Arabidopsis thaliana: one gene and its partners. The protein of the gene in region 4 interacts with the protein of the main gene of each other region in a pairwise test. Each region holds a gene or a part of one and is shown on either strand. Other genes may lie near its edges.

Evidence for each region.
Region 1: the proteins of AT2G35430 (region 4) and MC1 interact in a two-hybrid assay, tested with the Arabidopsis thaliana proteins (one large-scale study listed by BioGRID).
Region 2: the proteins of AT2G35430 (region 4) and BPC6 interact in a two-hybrid assay, tested with the Arabidopsis thaliana proteins (one large-scale study listed by BioGRID).
Region 3: the proteins of AT2G35430 (region 4) and AT5G41030 interact in a two-hybrid assay, tested with the Arabidopsis thaliana proteins (one large-scale study listed by BioGRID).

What each region holds. Positions count from the first base shown.
Region 1 is NC_003070.9:409,276-414,565, reverse strand, and holds MC1 (metacaspase 1), read right to left. Parts: upstream 2,903-5,290; 5' UTR 2,684-2,902; coding exon 2,308-2,683; intron 2,107-2,307; coding exon 1,776-2,106; intron 1,684-1,775; coding exon 1,563-1,683; intron 1,487-1,562; coding exon 1,271-1,486; intron 1,200-1,270; coding exon 1,140-1,199; 3' UTR 1,012-1,139; downstream 1-1,011. Other genes in the region: AT1G02180 (ferredoxin-like protein), read left to right, coding at 61-142, 349-947; AT1G02160 (Cox19 family protein (CHCH motif)), read right to left, coding at 3,205-3,389, 3,673-3,763; AT1G02150 (Tetratricopeptide repeat (TPR)-like superfamily protein), read right to left, coding at 4,133-5,290. UniProt on the Arabidopsis thaliana protein: Cysteine protease that cleaves specifically after arginine or lysine residues. Does not cleave caspase-specific substrates. Acts as a positive regulator of cell death.
Region 2 is NC_003076.8:16,997,999-17,003,827, reverse strand, and holds BPC6 (basic pentacysteine 6), read right to left. Parts: upstream 3,570-5,829; 5' UTR 3,402-3,569; intron 2,637-3,401; 5' UTR 2,542-2,636; coding exon 2,485-2,541; intron 2,334-2,484; coding exon 1,362-2,333; 3' UTR 1,221-1,361; downstream 1-1,220. Other genes in the region: AT5G42510 (Disease resistance-responsive (dirigent-like protein) family protein), read left to right, coding at 5,012-5,560. UniProt on the Arabidopsis thaliana protein: Transcriptional regulator that specifically binds to GA-rich elements (GAGA-repeats) present in regulatory sequences of genes involved in developmental processes.
Region 3 is NC_003076.8:16,426,326-16,430,856, reverse strand, and holds AT5G41030 (TCP family transcription factor), read right to left. Parts: upstream 2,152-4,531; coding exon 1,420-2,151; 3' UTR 1,178-1,419; downstream 1-1,177. Other genes in the region: AT5G41025 (uncharacterized protein), read right to left, coding at 3,422-3,667, 3,906-4,178; AT5G41020 (myb family transcription factor), read left to right, coding at 3,208-4,531.
Region 4 is NC_003071.7:14,899,732-14,904,567, reverse strand, and holds AT2G35430 (Zinc finger C-x8-C-x5-C-x3-H type family protein), read left to right. Parts: upstream 1-2,182; 5' UTR 2,183-2,310; coding exon 2,311-2,824; intron 2,825-3,309; coding exon 3,310-3,554; 3' UTR 3,555-3,864; downstream 3,865-4,836. Other genes in the region: AT2G35450 (catalytic/ hydrolase), read left to right, coding at 158-257, 343-396, 473-550, 639-736, 831-888, 979-1,100, 1,211-1,367; AT2G35420 (RING/U-box superfamily protein), read left to right, coding at 4,089-4,836.

The DNA of each region.
Region 1 (5,290 bases), on a different chromosome or scaffold from region 4:
TTTTTCGAAAATCCGCCAGCTCGAGCTATTACGCTGGGAATTCAGAGGATAAAACACGATATGAAGAACGAAATCAGCATTTTGGAGTTGATTTTACTGTTTCTGTCACTCTCATCAGTGCTAGCTAGCTCCAAATTGCACGGTAACTCCTTGCTTTATCCCCTCATAACATATGCGAATATAGACTTGGATTTCTCGTTCAGCATTTGGCCAGGCTTTATTTTGAATTTACAGCCACTCCCTCTGATTTAATCTCGAGTTCGCTTTCTTTAGTCAGAACCAGATTCGACAGTTTATATTATGTTGATTCGTTTTAGGCGGACTAAGTGTTAGTTAGAATGGTTGCAGGAAACTCAGCTCATGAAATGGTGAGCATCTTGAACCAGAACAGAACAGCTCGGAAACTAGGCAAACTAAATGAGAGTCCCGGTCTTGGCTGCATGGCCCTCCAGTATGTTGAGCTCTGCGAGGGGAATTGCAATGTCAACAACACTCTCAGCTGTGAACACCCTGAAGACGACTTCACTCAGGTGTTTGCCCCAAACTGTGGTGTAGAACTCCCCACTTTTGGTACCATAACTGGCCATATCCTCGGCTGCAGCTCTAAGTATGCAGCACCAGAAGTCGCTTTCTCAGACATTCTCTTTAGAGATAGCAGTGCGTTGTCGGTGCTCAGAAACAGGTCGCATACCGAGGTTGGAGTGGGAATGGCTAGGTTGCATAAAGGTACCTTCTTTTGGTGTCTTCTCTTTAGCGATGGTGTGAAAAACTCCTCCTTTGTACTGGAAGATAACGGCCGGGGTATCAAACAAAGAACAGGCTGCTACAGCGGAAGTGCTTTTCCTTGCAGCAGCAACGCACACATGATTTGTATGCGCCTTCTGAACAGCTTTCTGGGACTTCTCTTCTCTTCCTTCTGTCTATTCGAGAAACACCTTAAATTTTGATTCTGAAAGGCAAACCATTTGCTGCTTGTTTGTAAAGACTAAAGAATAGATGGCACATTTTGTTATCGAATCACCAAATCAATGTTTTCCTTTATTCTTTTGAAAGAAAAATAAAAATAAGAAACAAAAGGTGGTTATATGGACGGATTCTCAAATCACACTCGCTATACATAAAAAGTGACTTGTCCTTTACTAGAGAGTGAAAGGCTTTGCATAGACATCGAATGTTTGGCAAGCAGTCAGTTGAGGCTCCTGTCAAAAAACAGATTTAAGAAAACATTTATCGATCTGTATCAACACAAGAGAGCAAGAAAGAATTTTACCTGTCTTAATCCCCCAATCGCACTTCCCCCTGTCAGAAGCATGCTCAGCACAGTCGTCACAACTCCACCACTACCACCACCATCATTCCCTGTATTCCTTATTGTGGTGCGCATAGAATTCAGAAGGCTTCCATAGGTTGTGCCTTGTGCGCTGCGTTCAATTGCTTGAATAAAACAGAAAGTCATAGCACCCGTAGACGTGATCTTCGACAGCGCCTGTGTATGTGTTTTAATCATGAGAGGAGGAACCAACTACAACAGCAAGACGTATGATTAGAGTCGTTCTACTTACTGATGTGTCGGCCGAAGTCTGATCATCATCACATCCACTAATTGAAATGGCTTCTCCACCAGCAGTTCCTTTCCACAAACCTGACCTAGGCCGATGATCCTCCCACACATACTGCCCAGCTCTGTTTCAATTAAAAAAAAAAATGGATGTATGTTAAATATAACGAGAGAGGTAAGCAACATCCCTTTTAGAAGCGGTTGAGGGACTAATAACCTGTTCATTCTGCATAGGAAGGGTAAATCCAGAACGGTACCACTATGGCAAGCATCGATAATTGAATGGAGCTTGACACCATGTGGAAGAGGGCGTACAATGGTTGCGTTGATCTCATCGTCTACAATCATCCCCTGAGTTTCAAAATCCAGAGGACAGAGTGTTTCATCATAGCCATCAACTTCATCACCGTTGTAGTTTCTTTGACGCGAACCATGACCAGAGTAGTGGAAGACAAGTGAGTCGCCTGCTGTGCATCCCTGTACGAGCCAATACAATGCCATCCTCATGTTTTGCTTGGTCGGGATACGATATGGATCAGTTTCTTCCTCTGAGAATGAAAACCATCCATGATGAACAATTAGTTAGTCAGCTATGGAATGCAACACATTTTTATCAAAGTGGTTCGAAATGGTAACTTGGAATGTGTGTTTATCAGATTGAAGAGGCCAAGGAAAATTGTATTCAAAATCCAAGGAATAGTAGTATAGTAGCAAACATAGGCATTTGAAAAGATAGAAATACTCTGTACCGGTAAGCATGAGAATTGAATCTGGGGAGAATTTGAATTTGTTGATGAGAAGGTGACGCATGCACTTGGCGTCGTTGATGCAGCCTTTGAGCTCGTGGCGAGAGAAACGATACGAGATGCCACAGATCACGGCCCTCTTCCTGCCATGGGGGTGAGGCAGCTGACCGGGAGGCGCGTGGATTTGGGGAGGCGGAGAAGGGGCGGAGGAAGGTTGCGGAGGAGGGGCGGTGCGAGGGTCGGCGATATGAGTAACAGCCTGGCAGAGAGCGCAGCGAATAGATCGGGCGCCGGATGGGAGCTGGAGAGGCGTCCGGCAACCGGAGCAATTCACCAGCATCGGAGGAGCGTAGATGCTTGAGGGAGGTGGCGGGTACATTATTATTCTCGGAAGGGAGGGAATCAGATGAAGACGAATCGGATTACCAAATCGCGTGAGGAAGACGACGATGCAGTCAATGGCGCACGTAAAGAATCGTCGTCAAATGCGATTAAAGGCATCTGACTTTTCTTTGGCAGCTCACCGAACCTTTTACTTTCGAAAGCCCATATAACAGTTTTTAAGCCCAATTCACTACTGGAATCCCTGGATCTGTTTCAGACGCCAGAGTAAAGTAAAAGAATGAGAGAAAGATCTTCTTATTCAATATGGTGGTGGAGAAGCTCTAACTCTCTAACTAAATAAATAACCACTTGCTCTCAAAGTTTAACAGGTATACACCATGATTCACCAATGGGGAGTAAAAAGTAACATTAACAAACACTTTCCACTTGTTTACTTAGATAGATCATACAAACACAGCCATTGCAAATGAAACAACAGGATACTACTAGCTAGGTGATGTTCTGAGACATCATTGGTATTCGAGGATCTGCATTCACGAGAACAACGACCGTGTCTTATTGCGTTCCAGTCGAGCTTCCCTCTGAGAAACAAAATAACACATAGGTAAAGCAGCAAAGAAGTTGGAAACGCCAAAAGCCTAAATATTCATTCACAACAACAACCTCTTTCTTCTTGCATTCCTTGTACACATCAAAATGATCCTGGCATTTACTCTTGTCTGATCCAAATTCTTCAAGACCTGATAAGAAATCAAGGGGTCAAGCTAAGAGGCATAACTAATGAAAACGGAAACACATAAACAATCAGGAATCAAACCCGACGTTATCAATTGATGGGACCTAAATCGAATCACTGACATGGGATTCAACCCACTAATCTAATCACCTTGAGGAAGCATAATGAAATAGATGAGATCTAATCAATGCTAATTCGTTATGGAACTTGACAGTACTGAAGATAACATGTCAAATCCTATCCTCGAAGAAACAATCACAAAGGGTGAGATCAGGAGCATGACTCACATTTGAGAGAAGCAGAGTACTGAAGATAACATGGAGAATCAGATATCCGAGCCGCGCTAGGGTACGCCGCCGCCGCGCCTTTCGTCGACATTTCCCGATCACCGTCTCTCTCTCTCACAACCGATTCCGCGAAGATATCTTAATGGAGATGGGCCTTTGAGACTCTCAGACTTATATATTCAATATCGGGCCTTTTATCCGTCCGGCCCAAAATAAAAGAGCACAACCTAACCTCTCCAATATTAGTCTTAACAAGTAACAACAATCAAACAAGAGAACAAAGGCTAATCCAGTTCCCTAAGCAACACTAATTCCAAATAGCTGTCACAAAAAGGGACACAGCTCTTACATTCATGTTTCACTAGGCAGTCTCTTGTGTACATTATACATATTTCGCATTTCCTCAGTTGACTCCGGTTACAAGATTCGTTTTTTAAAGCAAAGATCTAGGACTATCAGATTACAAATCATCTTGTAGCTGTGTTAGAAGCGCATCGGTCTCATGGGCATCGATTTCACTGTTGTTTACTGTTCTGTTTTCGTCCACATCAATAAGAGCTAGGTAAGATTTGTCTTCAAGATCCCCCGACTGCCTTAACAATTCCAAAACGGCCTCTTTACTGGTAACATCCGATTCCTCTTCACAGAGCTTGAAGAAACCAGACAGCATCAACACCTTGGGCCTCCAATTGCTGGACCCTTCAGCCGAAAAAGCATTTCTAAGACAAGTCAAAGCCTCTGAAATACACCTCTTTCTGGTATGACCAACAGCTAGAATCTCCCACGTACTTGAACTTGGTTTTCCTCCCATTTCAACCATGTGGTCGAACAACCCCTCAGCTGTCTCTAGTTGGTCGTTTTTGACATACGCATTCATCAGAAGATTTGGTATCCTGGGGTCATAAGAAGACTTGACTGGAAGCCATTCCTCATATACCTTCTCGGCCCCTTCAATGTCTCCCATCCTCACCAGCGACGAGACCAAGGCATGGTAACCCAAATTGGGAATGCTCGGGACAACAGATTTGTAGACGTGCCAGACTCGGTACAGCTCTTTCTTGTTACCAAGGCTGCCATACAAACTCAAGAGGTAGTGATACGGAATGCGATTACGACCAGTAATCCTTGCTTCAACCTTCCTCAGTGCATCTTCGGCTTTCTCAGTTTCACCCATCTTTATGTACATTGTGGCCATTGTGCTAAACGTGGTCCAGTTGGGATAAATGGAAACATCCGATTTCATCTGCTGATACACTAGTTCCATTTTCTCAACTGATCCTAAGGAGCCGCAAGAGGAGAGCCAGATGTTGTAGGAGTAAATGTCGAGACGTATATCTTTCTGCTTCATCTCGAAGACCATAGCGTCGACTTTGTCATACTCCCTGAGGTTCATGTAGAGAGTCATCATGACGTTGAAGGGAAGCGGGTGCAGGGCGTAACCTTTGTCCCTCATGGTGTTGAGCAGGGCTTCAGCCTTTTCTCTCGACTTGGCCCTCACATAGGCATTGAGGAGGGAACCATAAACTCTCCGGTCCTTAAAATTCTCAGGGAGCTGGAGGAAGAACTCTTCGGCGTCTGGAATGCCACGCACTTTGCCGATTAAGTCGAGCTGGATTGC
Region 2 (5,829 bases), on a different chromosome or scaffold from region 4:
AACACATGCCAACATAGAACCATGGCACCAGAACACCGGAGATCTCACAATTATTAAAGTAAAGAGCCATGTAGACGCGGTAGGTTATTCAAATTCCAACCAGATGCTATGTATTATCCATATCACTCTTCCATTTTTCGTTTTCACTCCTTTACAAAGGAGTGAAAATGTAAAGTGGAAAAGAGATATGGATCAATGCATAATTTCTGGTTAGAACTTGAATAACTTACCGTGTTGTCCTAAATCTTTACTCTCATTTAAGGATAGTGATATTTCTGGTGTTGTCGTGTCATGGCTCTCTGTTGGGATGTGTTTTTGAACGTTTTGTTGGTTAATATTACACTCTTAGTGTCTAAATCATTTGTAATATTATTTGTCAATTTCATTTGTTTGATGTTTTGCTTGTACTCACAACATTTATTGTTATGTAGTTGTCATCACGCCAACAAAACTTGGAGTAGACGCAGCACACTACTAATAATAGATTGTTCTAAGTTGTATCAAAAGAAAATATAATGAATTTTTAAATGCTACTTATCTGCGTGAAATTTGAGTTAATTATATATAAATAATTTACACTTATTATTTATATCAATTTTTAAAATCAATTATATATAAATAATTTACACTTAAATTCAGCATTTTCATATTCTGTAGATAGAAACTTGTTTCATTTAATTTGGGCATAGAATTGTTTTTCATATTTTCTTATTATATTAGTTATTTTATTTTTCAAAATTAATATATTAAATAAAAACGAAAACAAAAATTATTTGACTCTCAATTATATTATTATAAATTTAAACATCAAAAGTATTTATACTAATAAATACATCATAGCTTTTAATGTTTTTATCATTTTATTTTTTGTTTATACAGTATTTAGATTATTTTAGTGCGACTGATTGGTTTATTTTTAATGAAACATAATGTTTTTTCTTAATAAATAAAATATATAGGTCCCACAAAAAAAGCAGAGAAAACTCTCGAGTCGTATATCACAGTGAAATCTCCCTAGACTAATCATTTGTGATTTCTTTATCAAAAATTCCAAATTGATAGATATGATCAGATCCATTTGTTCACACAGTCCGTAAGTTGTAGGTGAGTGAAATAGCTCACATTCCATCCATGATTCAGTATCAGTTCAAAAGAAAAAGTTGTCTAGTTTTTCTTTGTTGATGTGAACAAAAAATAATAATTCTACGGTTTGTGATGTTACTAAAAATTTTCGAATTATATAATACAACATAACATTGGCTCCACATACAATTCTTTTCCTCTCGAGTTTATTTGAATTTAGTACACATGATTTAAAATCAGATAATGTCGTAAGAACAACTCACACCTAAATGCACATATCATTTAATCGTAATGTAGCGGTTTGTACCGTGCTTTGCCCAATGGTCCTTCAGATCGACCGGGTTTGAAAGATCATGATGCCCTTCTGCAGCAAGCCGGCTTAGAAGCTTGTTGAACGCGCTTCCGCTCATTTTCCGTCCACCAACTCGAGCATGCCTTTTGTTGGGCAGTGCAGGTAAAGGATACATTGATAGTGTAGTTGTGCAACACGATGATTGCCAACCTCCATTTCCCCATTTGTAGCACTGTCTGAGAACTCCTGTACATGAACATACAGGTGGTGGCATCGTTGTCTCGTCGTAAACCACTTGGTTCAGCCCCACCATTTCTTGACTTTTCCAGTCAGATTTTGATCCTATTAAGATATGCTTACTTGAATCTTCGTCTGTGTAGTCATGGGTCGTCTTTACAAACATTATCTTGTTTAAGTCGTCCTCGCTCTCTTTCTTAACCTTCCTCTGATTTTTTGGCCCTCTCTTATTAGCAGCAGTTTGTGTTGTCGCCTTTGGGTTCACTCTTTTACCACGTTTTGGTTTGGCAGATTCCAAGGTGGATCCGGCAGGTGGTGATGTTGGGAGACCATCATTTGGCTCCATCTCTCTGGTTTCATATGCATTTTCAGTCAACTGAGGTATGTGATGTTGTTGATGATGATGATGCATGTGCGGATGGTGCAAGTGTTTTACACCACGTGATATTTGACATCCTGGTGGACATGCTGACATATTGGCAGCAGGAGCAGTAACCATAGAGTTCTCACGGTATTGGAGTGCTGTAAGAGCACTGTCTCTCTCCATTATCGCATTGTTGCGCTCAGCAATGGCGGTGTCCCTCTGAAGAAACGCCATGTCCCTTTCAGCTACTGCTGCTTTTTTCTCTGATATCGCCAGATTTCTCTCCTGAATCGCTGCATCGCGCTCTGCTATTATCGACATCACTTGTTTCATCGACGGCTGATGCTGCATCAACCACTGTTTTACATCATGAACAAATCATACATTCCCATCAAAAACAGTCTCAAATCTGAGGTGTTTAGCCGCAAGCATGATGAACACCCATAAGATGTATATATAGAGCAGAGAAAGGAAAACAACTGATTTAGCTTTGGGATTGTCAAGGTACCTGGCCCTGAACTGCTGCTTTATGCCGACCATTCTCACGATGCCCACCATCATCCATTTGAGATATTAAAAGTCTTGACGGTACAGCTTCTACAATAACTGAACAAGCTAACGGAATATCAAAATAAAAGACTGGTCCATCTTTTAATCCTCCTGCACATAGCCAATCATTAAACAGTGTCAAAAAAGACCATTTCATAAATAAACTACTATGAAGCAAAATAGCCAATCACCAAAGCATTGCTAGTATTAGTGAACATACATAAACGACTATGAAGCAAAAAAAAAATCTATACTTGAGTTCCAGAATATGATTCAGCAGAGACAAAGCAAACAATTGTTTGTCCATCTATGAGTATTTTCTGAAAAACTTTCAACAAAAACACTCAAACTCAGATGACTAAAAATAGCAACATTAATATCGAAATGGTACCATTTTGTTTCAGGATTTGCACATCAATCAATCGATTCTAACCAATACACATAAACTCTGTGAGATATCAAACTCAGCTAAAAGAAACACAGTATCATCGATTATAGTCATAGTGATAATCATCAAAAGCTAATTTGGGAAAACACAAAACACAAAATCGCCTACTCATGATGATCAATAAGAACTCTAAAACCACAAAATCTGGTTCGATACACTATCCAAAAGAAAGAAACAATCCAAAAATTCTCCAACTCTAATGTCGATAGAAACAGGCAAAGCTCATCAAAATTAGGATTTAGCCATTTGGAATCAAATCGAGTAACTTAATTCAGCAATTAGGATTCAGCCAAGCCCTAATTACTTCAAACGAGCTTCGATTAATAGGAAATGAGCTTAGAAGCTTGGTAAGAACTTGGAGAAAAAAGTGAAATGAAAAGGGGCGGCGAAGAGAGAAAGAAGATGGTGGAAGAGTAAGCGAAGTTTACCGGGGGAAGTAGAGAGAGAACCCGCCGGAGAGATACAGAGAGACGACGACGGTGGTGGTGGTGGTGGTGATGACAAGCAGAGCAGAGAGATTGAAACCCTAATTGAACTGCGAGAGAATAAAGAAAAATATCTTTGTGGAAGAAACAGATCGGGGAAGAGGAAGATGGATTTCTTTCTTTCTAACTGTTTTTACGTTTGGTAAAAACAAATTTTTAAACTTTTAACTCTTTTTTCACCCATTTGGTAAGTGTTTTACTGTTGCACTGTTGTTGTTGAAAATTAGGTGACCAATTGGAAAAAAATAAAATAAAAAATGTCTATTAGTATTATTATGTAATTACCAGTTAGATTATTTTTATATAAAATTTAAAGTGTGGCTGGTGTGGTCATTACAGTTTATATATAATTTAACATTTTACGATCAATATTAATATGGCCTTTTTGAAACTTCAGTCTCGGTCGCCAAATATCAATAAAACGTTACCTTTCCTCAGAACAATCGACTCTATAATTAGATAGTAGCACATTTGTTATGAGATTTTATCACAAACAACATTTGATGCCCCAACGTACTTAACTTTGACGCCATGTGAACGTGGATTCCTGCAGCCTAAAACAGAGCACCTACTTGATCTGAATAATAGATTTGTTTTATTAATAGTAGCCTTAAGACATTGATACTTTTTAACTCGACAGAGGATTCTCGTCCCCATGCATTTCTCATTAGGCATGACCCAAGAGTTATTCTCACAACGAGAAAGCTCTCGTGCATTCCAAGTAAACTGAGAAGACGAAAGATGAATGTTATTCCAAACAATTGATATAATATATTTTAAGTTTAATTGAGTAACTAGCACAACTGTACTTCAAAATTATGCAACTACCAAAATTCTTGATCGTTGTTTTATTTTTTGAAAAAAAAAAATTATGCAACTACCAATTTTGTTTTATAACAAAATTCAAGGAGTTTCTAAAATAAGTTATATACTTTTTGCAAGAAAACTAAAGTCTTGTCATTGATCATTGTTTCAAATATCATGTATTGTTTTTAATCTATTTTATGATTTAACTCTAGCCCGTCGCACCTATGCCCTCCTCTTTTGGGACTCAGTGGATGATTAATTCAGTGTACAAAATATAAGATCATTAATTAGAGAACACTGGTATTGAGTTTGGAACCATATGTATATATTAATATATATCTTAGGTACATATATACAGATTGACAATCCTAAATTTAAACATCAATGTCTATGTACATCTTTGATCTTAATTTCAATTATATGCATCTACTATATATCTTTCTTTATATATTTATATGTAGTGTATCACAATGCAGAATCTTGTTTTATTCTTATTTGTTTTGTTTTTCTTTCGTCGTGCATCCTTATATATTTGCCAGTTTATATCATGATTCGTACAAGTGGAAATATCTAGTTGTTTATAAATCGAACCACCTAGTTTACTTCCACGTCAACGGACATGTTGTTGTCACCAATCGAGAAACGACATATTCAAATGTTTTATGAGCCAACAATTGCGTAACGATCATGTTTTGTGTATATATATAAATCACATTTTCACATTTCCATAGCTACAAACAACGAACATGGCTAAACGTTTTCTGCTTCTTCTTCCTCTTTTGTCATCTATTCTTCTTCTTGCCGTGTCCGTCACAGCTTACTCCACAACAACGCCGTATCAAGGCTACAAGCCGGAGAAATTCACCCACCTCCACTTCTACTTCCATGACGTCATCTCCGGTGACAAACCTACCGCCGTCAAAGTTGCCGAAGCCCGCCCAACAACCACCCTCAACGTCAAGTTTGGCGTGATTATGATCGCTGATGATCCGTTGACCGAAGGACCAGACCCGAGCTCAAAGGAAGTGGGAAGAGCTCAGGGGATGTACGCATCAACAGCCATGAAGGACATAGTCTTCACAATGGTCTTTAACTATGTTTTCACGGCAGGAGAGTTTAATGGAAGCACCATCGCGGTGTATGGACGGAATGATATATTTTCGAAGGTGAGAGAGTTGCCGATTATTGGAGGAACTGGTGCTTTCAGGTTTGCTAGAGGCTATGCACTGCCCAAGACTTATAAGATTGTTGGTCTAGATGCCGTGGTCGAGTATAATGTCTTCATTTGGCATTAATCATTTGCATATTGTCTAATGTCTTTCCGAAACAAATTGTTTCACTTTGGTTTTCTTATATTGTTTTTGGTTCTTTTATATATATATATATATATATATATATAACAATTGTTCTGTTTTTGTTGTGGATCGTTTAAAGTTCAAAAGGTGTTGTTTGTCTGAATATTTTGAGAATTAAGATGTCAGATGTGTGAGAGTCTCGTAGTTACTTGAAATTTCTGTTCGTACTAATTAAGGGTGAGTATGGGGCAAGTAAGATGTAGATATTG
Region 3 (4,531 bases), on a different chromosome or scaffold from region 4:
CACATTTTACAATAATAGATCATGATTGGTAATTAAGAAAACCATTTCTTACAGAAGTTAAAAAAAAAAAAAATCAGTTTTTAATATATATTAGGTTATGCCAAATAACGGTTCTTACATCATAATTTGTACACTTAATTAAAGAATGCAATCTTGATTTGCCTTGACCACGAAACTCAATTACTTAGACATATTATTTTTCGTCTTCTTCTAATTAGTATGCCATTACTTAATTTCAAAAAAGCATGCAAAAAATATATAGAAGGTTTCCACATGAATTATATTAAAGAGTTATTTCGAGGACTTTTCCTTTTTCGGTTAAAAGAGAGAGAAGAAGAAAATAGATTTTCCATTTATAATAGATATAAGTAGTTCAAATGATGTACGTACGTAGGTTAATTTCTTCCTTGTTTGTGTCTTCTTGGATGGAGAAGGTTTAGGTTACCGAATCAAACGAGAAAGCGGGACCAAGGGAATCACATATCTCCCACCGCCAATTTAAAACGCATTTCTATATCTTTCTCTTCTATCTTCATATTAATTGAAGTCAACGTATTTGTATACTTGTCTTTATTTCTTTCTTTCTTTTGAAGCTTGACCAAGTTTCTTTTCTTTTTTGAACAAGAACTTCAAAATTCAAATCCACACTGCAAAACAGCTTCTCCATCCACATATAATCAGAAAGATTGAGTTTTAATAGTAATGTATATTTGTATTTTTGCATTTGTTATCAACTTTTTTTTAAAATACGGATGGACTTTTAGGCCCTAATCAAATGTTAATGATTTGAGAAGTTTGGTTTCAGATTAGTTCTAGATCGCATTCGAATATTTTTCGGCTTATACTGTCATTGAGGCCCATTTCATTGATTATGGGCTGTTGACACAATACAATAAGAACATCGTACAGTTTCACTGTTCTCGTGGAAGGACGCGGATTGTTTTTCACCCAAGAAAACGTAGCGTAGTCCAAATTCTATCAGCAAGCCAGCTTCTGGGCAAAGAAACAAGATGAATTTCTAACTAAGGCAAAAACTTTCCTTTGTACAACGAAACTCAATCATCAGAGTGTTTGCTTAATTATGCAGAGAAGCCTCCATTCAGTACAGTTTAAAGAGCAGAACTTACTTCTTAACTTTATAAAGTAATCAGTACATCAAAGCTATTGATTAAAGAAAGGTCGAGCAAAATAAACTATGAATGAGCACATTGAGATTTCAGCAAAACCATATTTCATCTTCTCACTTTATGTATGCACAATCTAAAGCAAACGCCAAAAAAGGTTTGAGCTTTAGGAACCATTGTTCTCTTGCTGATCGAAGTAAAATAAGCTATGAATAAGCTATCAAGTTTGAGATTTCACTAGCAATCACATTCTCGCTAAATATATCTAATTAAAAGCCATTTAAAGGTTTGAGCTTTATGAACCATTTTCCTCTGCACTCTGCTGCTGATCTTCATGTGAATGATGATGAAGAACCCTGAACTGTTCTTTACCCATTTGTTGAAAAACCTGTGGATTCAAAACCCCAACTTGAGACAGCCTTAATTCAAGTCCAGGCGTTTGATTATCTCCAAAACCAATCTCTGGAACACCATTGAAATCAAACCCAATTCCGTAATTCAGATCAAACCCTCCAATGGTCTGTCCTGTTTCATTTCTCCACAACCCATTTGCCTCCATTTGAGTCCTTGAAGCTTCTTCAACGCTATGACAAATCATCAAATCAGCCGTGAGAGGAGGTTGAGAAACAACAGACTCAGTGGGTTTGATACCATTTACAGTAGCAGAGAGTATCGATGGCTCAGCATGTTGAAGCAACCATTCAAGAGTCTCACCATCTGATTTGTGACCTAATTCTTTAGTCAATTGATAAATCCTTGCTGCACAGAGTGGAGGTAACCTAACTCTACGACCTCTTCCTTCAACTTTAAGGTGACGATCTTTGTTTGGTTTCTTCTTCTCCTTCTCATAAAGAATCTGAATTTCTTGGTCTTCCTCTTCATTCTCCTTCTTCTTCCTCTTTTCGCCGACCACAATGTCGAAACCTTTAACCTCTGTTTGTTTCCTCTTCTTGTCGTTGTCCTGATTCTGTCGTGATGGGTTTAAGAAACTTGGTAGATTTTGGTTCTTCTTGGGCTCCATGACCATGTCAAGGTGTGGGGACGTACTTCTCTCTCTCTCTCAGATTCAAGGTGGGGCGTGTGTTGTGACCTCTTGACCTAAGTAAAAAAAAAGGGTAACAACTTTTTATTATTTTCACGCATTATTTTATTTTTTTTACATAATTAGAAGTTCTATAATCACGAAATATTCTTACTTACCGAATGAATTCCAATCCAAAGAAAAAAAAAAAAAAAAAAAAATAAAAAAAAAAATTCCAATCCAAAGCTCAATCAAATCAACATGGCAACATCCATGAGAGTTAACAAGGGCAAAATTAAATAATATGAAAACATTAGAAAAATTTAGTTTTGAGCATAAATCACACATTAAAAAGAATTTATTTAAATCAAAAGAGGTTATCAACATCATTAAAAACTAAGTTTTACATTCTTTCATCACTTGATAATAAGGTCAAAACTCAAAACAAACCTTTGTGTTTATGTTTTTTTATATCAGTTTTCGATTATATATGTTTAGTATGTTCTTCAATTGCATCCCTTTGATGAAAACTAGCTTTGTCCCAAATGATCATGTAAGATCCAAACTCCACCACACAAAACATTGAAGTTAATCCAAGAAGATTCTACATTTTTAAATACTTTTCCCAAGGTCTCTTATATACTGATTTATTCTAGTAGTAATTATTTGATTTCTTTTTCTTCCAAATCATTTAGAAATTTCACAATATAACCACCAACTTTGTAAGTTGTAACATAAGTGATAGAAATTAGATCAAACTCTTGTTAAAACTTGATAACGTCAAGAGCAATACGTTGGGCCTAGTAGTACTCAAGCCCCAAATATGGGTAGTGGGTCATTGAAGACCCAAGTTCAAAGGAATTTTTTTTAACAAAAGTAATTAAATACCCTAATCATCTCAAATTCATGAAGGAAGCCGCCGTATCCAAAAGCTCCTTCACAATCAATCTCAGCATCGCTGTGTCTTAAAATCACTCAATCGAAATTCGGATTTAGATTTGAGCGAAAGTCGCGGCGGTTTTTGTGATTAGGGTTTCGTAACCGTGTCCGCCGGTATATGAGATGGCTGAGGAGAAGAAGAATAAGAAGAAAAAGAGTGACGCTAAGGTTGATTCTGAAGAAACCGGTGAAGAATTCATTTCCGAGCACAGTTCTATGAAGGATAAGGAAAAGAAGAGGAAGAAGAATAAGCGAGAGAATAAGGATGGTTTTACTGGAGAAGATATGGAGATAACTGGGCGTGAAAGTGAGAAACTAGGTGATGAGGTTTTTATAGTTAAGAAGAAGAAGAAGTCGAAGAAGCCAATAAGGATTGATTCTGAAGCTGTTGATGCTGTGAAGAAGAAATCGAAAAAGAGAAGTAAGGAGACAAAGGCTGATTCCGAAGCTGAGGATGATGGTGTGGAGAAGAAATCCAAGGAGAAAAGTAAGGAGACAAAGGTTGATTCTGAAGCTCATGATGGTGTGAAGAGGAAGAAGAAGAAGAGCAAGAAAGAATCTGGTGGTGATGTGATAGAAAATACTGAAAGCTCCAAAGTATCTGATAAGAAAAAGGGAAAAAGAAAGCGGGATGATACTGATTTGGGAGCTGAAGAAAACATAGACAAGGAGGTGAAGAGGAAGAACAACAAGAAGAAACCAAGTGTGGATTCAGATGTTGAAGATATCAATTTGGACTCTACAAATGATGGAAAGAAGAAAAGGAAGAAAAAGAAACAAAGTGAGGATTCAGAGACTGAAGAAAACGGCTTGAACTCTACCAAAGACGCAAAGAAGAGAAGGAAGAAGAAGAAGAAGAAGAAGCAAAGTGAAGTCTCTGAGGCTGAAGAAAAGTCTGATAAAAGTGATGAAGACTTGACCACCCCATCTACATCAAGTAAAAGGGTGAAGTTTTCTGACCAAGTGGAGTTTTTTCCTAGTGATGATGATGAAGGAACGGAAGATGATGATGAAGAAGAAGTTAAGGTGGTGAGGGGTAAGCGGTTTACAAAAGAAGAAGATGAGATGGTAAAGAATGCTGTATTAGAATACATTGATAACCATGCTTTAGGAGATGAGGGGATAAAGATGGTTATGGAATGCAAGGCATACCCACAACTTAAAGGCTGTTGGAAAGAAATTACATCTGCTTTACCTTGGAGGACTTATAATAGTGTGTATCATCGTGCACATACTATATTTGAAGCAGGATCTCAGGGGATATGGACGAAAGAGGATATTGAACTCGTTATGGAGTTTCAAAAGACACACGGGAATGATTGGAAAACACTTGCAGATGCAATGGGTAAGCACAGGAAGCATGTGAAAGACGCTTGGAGGAGAGGAAGATTGGCAGGTAAGAAGAAAGGACATTGGATGAGGGAGGAGTATCAAAACCTCTTTGACC
Region 4 (4,836 bases):
GTTAGTATATGACTATGGGATGCATTACTGGGGCATAGGTTGGTCTTGGTTCTGCGTGAAATTAAAAGTTTTCAAGTGATTCTCCAATCAAGTCTGCAATATCAGCGATTTAATTCAAGTTACTTTTGAAGATGATTTTTGAGTTTCTTATTGACAGTGTTCTGAAGAGATACCCATCAAAGTTTGTCGGTTGTTGCCTTGCTAATCCTGCAGAAGATGGCAGTGGAATTACGCACCTTGAGAATCTTGTTTTAGAGGTCTTCCCTTTCACTGTTACTCAAAGCATCTCCAAATATTATATATGCATCTCATTTCTGAGAGTACTTAAATCTTTTTTTGTAGAGTAATTATCGTGCTGTTCGGTTTAATCCCTACTTGTGGCCATCGGGTCAGAAGGTAACAGTTTAACCATTCCAATGACCTTAGATCAAGTTTCCACCGTATTCTGTTGATTGTCAATGACTCAACACAGATGACAAATGCTGTTGGTAAAGCCTTGTTCTCTAAAGCAGGGGAGCTTTGTGTGCCTGTTGGCTTCATGTGCATGAAGGTCTGGTAGTATTTTCACCTTTGTGGTCTCCAAAGTTGTGTGGTTTACGCGAAGTTCTTTCGTTAAGAATCTTGTTTTCTTTATTCAGGGTCTAGATCTTCACATTGCAGAAATTGAGGAACTTTGCACAGAATTTCCAAAGACAACTGTTTTACTAGATCACGCTGGATTCTGCAAAGTACCAGAGTGAGCTGTTCTTTGCTTTTTGTGAAAAATAATCCCGTCCCCTGAAATTCCTATAGAATGTAGTACTAATATTCATGGTTTCAACAACCTGCAGAAGTGGTGAGGCAAAGCTTGCTTATTCTCAACTCATGAAGCTGTCTAGATTTCCACAGGTGAAAAAGAAAAAAAAATTACTTTTAGAATCTGAATTCTCATAGATTATAGATTATACGAGTCTGAGGGAAGAATATTGTAACAAGCAGGTATATGTGAAATTCAGTGCTCTATTCAGGATCTCAAGAACCGGCTTCCCGTATCAGGACCTATCGCCTCTCCTATCTCAACTTGTGTCCCATTTTGGGGCAAATCGTGTCATGTGGGGCAGGTAAACATACTTATTTACCTCGCTTTCCCGACTAAAAACCACAAAAAACCTTCTATATCTACTAACAATACATGATCATATACGGATTGGCTGTTTTCCATCTGCTGCAGTGACTTCCCATTTGTTGTTCTTGAATGTGGATATAAAGAAGCTAAAGAAGCTGTGACTATCATTGCAAAAGAAGCATCCTTGTCAAGTTCTGAGATGGACTGGATTCTGGGAAAGACTCTGATGCAGCTCTTCCCTGGACAATGGGTTCTTCCTTGAGAGGCTTGTCAGAAGTAATAGGTTGCATGCGGATGAGATAATGAAGCAAGCAATGGAAGTTGTATCATTAAAGATACTTAACTCTAGCCTATATATTACCAAACACTAGATGTATACCAATTTAGTAAATCAACAAAAATCTTATGTGTTGATATCATAATGATTCATCGTGAGATGATGGAGGGCCTGGATGTTGATGTGCTCTGATCGAAAATTTCTTCCACAATGGGTGAGCTGCTAGGATCCCCTTTCCGTGTTCAATGAGGTGAGGTGATAATTTATAATCATCGGTGGCTTTGCTGGGACATTTATGAGGGATAAGTTTCAAGAATCAAGCTTCTCTCCAGTAGCTTGTTTTACAAGTAAGTAAGAGTTGGCGTCTCCGGTTATAATTTATACCCGTGTAAGTTAGTTTCATCTATTTACGAAATCGCCATGATGGAGTATCGAGTTGTGCAAGTGATAGCAATGTGGAATTCAAAGAGACAATTGAGTTTTCTTTGAGAATTGAAAGAAGTGGTGATCGAGATTAGTCAGCATTGTAAAACTTGTTTGGGTTGGATTCTTGAAATGTACAAGCGCGGTTTCATATGGTAGAATCGATTCAGAGAGTGTGAAGTGAATTTACACAACTTGCTAAACTAGTAGAGCAAGTGAAGCTCTTAAAAATAGAAATCCTCTCTGCCTAACAACTTTTGTTTTACTCGTCTTAATTATCAACATTAGTTAAACTTCTTTCTTTTATTTAATCTGTGACCATTATTGATTTTATAGCTAATCACATTTTGATCCTTATATAAATGCTACTACTAGTACGATTTTGAGTGGCTTTACTCTACTTTACTTTCCACTTCCTCTTCATCTACTCTTTCTCTCTCTATCTCTTTCCACTTCCTCTTGCTTTTACTCCTGGGTTAGGGTTTAGGGTTTCTTGGTCGACGTGATGAGTCATCGGCGAGATTACGGCAGTGATGCAGTTCACGTGAGAATCACCCACGACCCTCCGCCTGAGAATTGTTTTCCAAATTCCGGCGACAGTTCCGTCTGGGCCACTGAGGATGATTACAGCCGTGTCTGGGCCATAAACTCTGATGGCGCAGAGTCTCCGAGCAAGAAGACACGATCTTCCTCCTCCTCCGAGATCGGGAAATCGTTCTTCAAGACGAAGCTTTGCTTCAAATTCCGCGCCGGAACTTGTCCCTACTCCGCGAGCTCTTGCCACTTTGCTCACAGCGCGGAGGAGCTCCGTCTTCCTCCGCCGCCGCCGCCCAATTGGCAGGAGACGGTGACAGAGGCTTCAAGAAACAGAGAAAGCTTTGCGGTTAGTTTAGGCCCTCGTGGCAATGTTGCTCAGACTCTCAAGTCTCCGAATTGGAAGACAAGGATTTGCAATAAGTGGCAGACTACTGGCTATTGTCCTTTTGGTTCTCACTGCCATTTTGCTCATGGACCTTCAGGTAAAGCTACGGCCTTTTTCATCTATTAGTAACCCCAACGAATGTAGTTTAGAAATGGGTTTTAATCGGTGTTGCTTGATGAACTGTGAGTTTAGAGTGTCACTAGAGGTTAATGGATGCTAATTCTCTGGACTAAGAGATCATCTTTGAACACTAGAACTATCTTTATTAGCTTAAGTTAAGTCTGTTGAATTGTATATGTAATGGTATTGGTTTCCTTGAGGATTCTTTATATGGACTGTGGGTGCCAATTAGTTAATCGTGCTTGGTGAATGGATTGGTGACAATGTCTATTAATGGACTTAAAGTGGATCGAGTGAGATTGTTGAAATGTTTCCTATTGCTACATTGCCATTACGTGATGATGTCAATTGGTTTCTGATTGGAAAGAATTCTTGATCTGCTTGTTCCTAATGGCTATGGAAATGCAGAAAGTTTCAATCGTCGCTAGCTAAAAGTTTGAGTCTTTATGGTATCTTTTGCAGAGTTGCATACATTTGGCGGAGGACTCGTTGAAGGAGAATGTAAGATCGGAACATCCGCCACTTTGGACACAAAGCAGAGAGGACAAGTAGACACAGTGACTAGCCTTGTTTCTCCTGGAGTCTCATCCCAACGGACATCTAGTGCTGTTACGCAGAAACCCAACGGAGTCAGAACTCAACGGAAATGGAAAGGACCAGATAAAATCAGTCGTGTTTATGGTGATTGGATCGACGATATTGAGTAAAGTCACTGCATTTTCACTGATTTGTTGATCAAGGTATAGCTTCTTTTAGACTTGTAACTGTGTGGACATATTAGCTTCCTCCCTTCTGTGGTTGTAGATTGTGACTCACTCAACAAAGACAAAAACTCTCATCTTTTTGTTTATTCTCTTTGTCAATCCTAAATCTAATCTTGCAGAAGATCAAACCGAACTAAATAATGTTGCGTACTTGTAAACCGGATCATCATTGCTACCTAAACCTTTTTCTTTATTTCCATGGTCAATATTAATTTTTCGTTTTGAGTTATTTTTAACAGTAAAATGATTTATTATTAAGACAACGATTTTAACTGTCACAAAAGACTCGCTCAAAATGGTAAGCAAAGCCACTTCTGTCTCTCAGACATAGCCACTTTATTCTCCTCATTTCTCTCTATTAACTTGAACAATAATACTCCTTTTCTCACAAGGATTTGTAAGAACAACCTTTCTTATATCCCAAGCAATCTACGAAACTGGTAGAATCTGGGGGTTTCTCTAATCATCAACCTTCAAATGTCGTCAACAACATCAATAGATTCAATACCAGCTACTGCTGTTTTCCCTAGTGTTTCCATGCCTGTCACCGTAGTTTTGACCGGTGTTCTTCTCTTTGTAATTTTCGCCGGATTCTTCTCTCTTTTCTTATGGCAGTTTCTTCTGAATCGATTATTTACTACTTGGAACCTTCAACGAACACCTTACGGTGACCTAATCCATGTGGCCACTCCGCCTGAAAATACTGGCCTCGACCCGTTTATCATCCGGTCCTTTCCTGTATTCCACTATTCATCTGCAACTAAGAAAAATCATGGGACGGAATGCGCTATTTGCTTGTCAGAGTTTTCAGATGAAGATACAGTTAGGCTCATAACGGTTTGTCGTCATCCCTTTCATTCAAATTGCATTGATCTTTGGTTTGAGTTACACAAGACTTGTCCTGTTTGCCGGTGTGAGTTAGATCCTGGCATGATTGGATCTGGAAGGCTTGAATCATTCCACAACACAGTCACAATTACTATTCAGGACATAAACCATGATGAGGAAAATCCTCCAACCGCTGGTTCAAGCAAAAGGCTAATAGAAGCCTCGGCTTGGCGATTCTCGAGGTCACATTCTACTGGACATTTCATGGTTAAGACTACGGATGCTAATGTGAAGTCCAAAAGAAGGCATTACCAAACAGGAAGCTGTGTCTCGTTCGACGAACTTACTCGGTATGAAGGAGCAGGATGGCAATGGCTTGGTGATTCATCACACATTA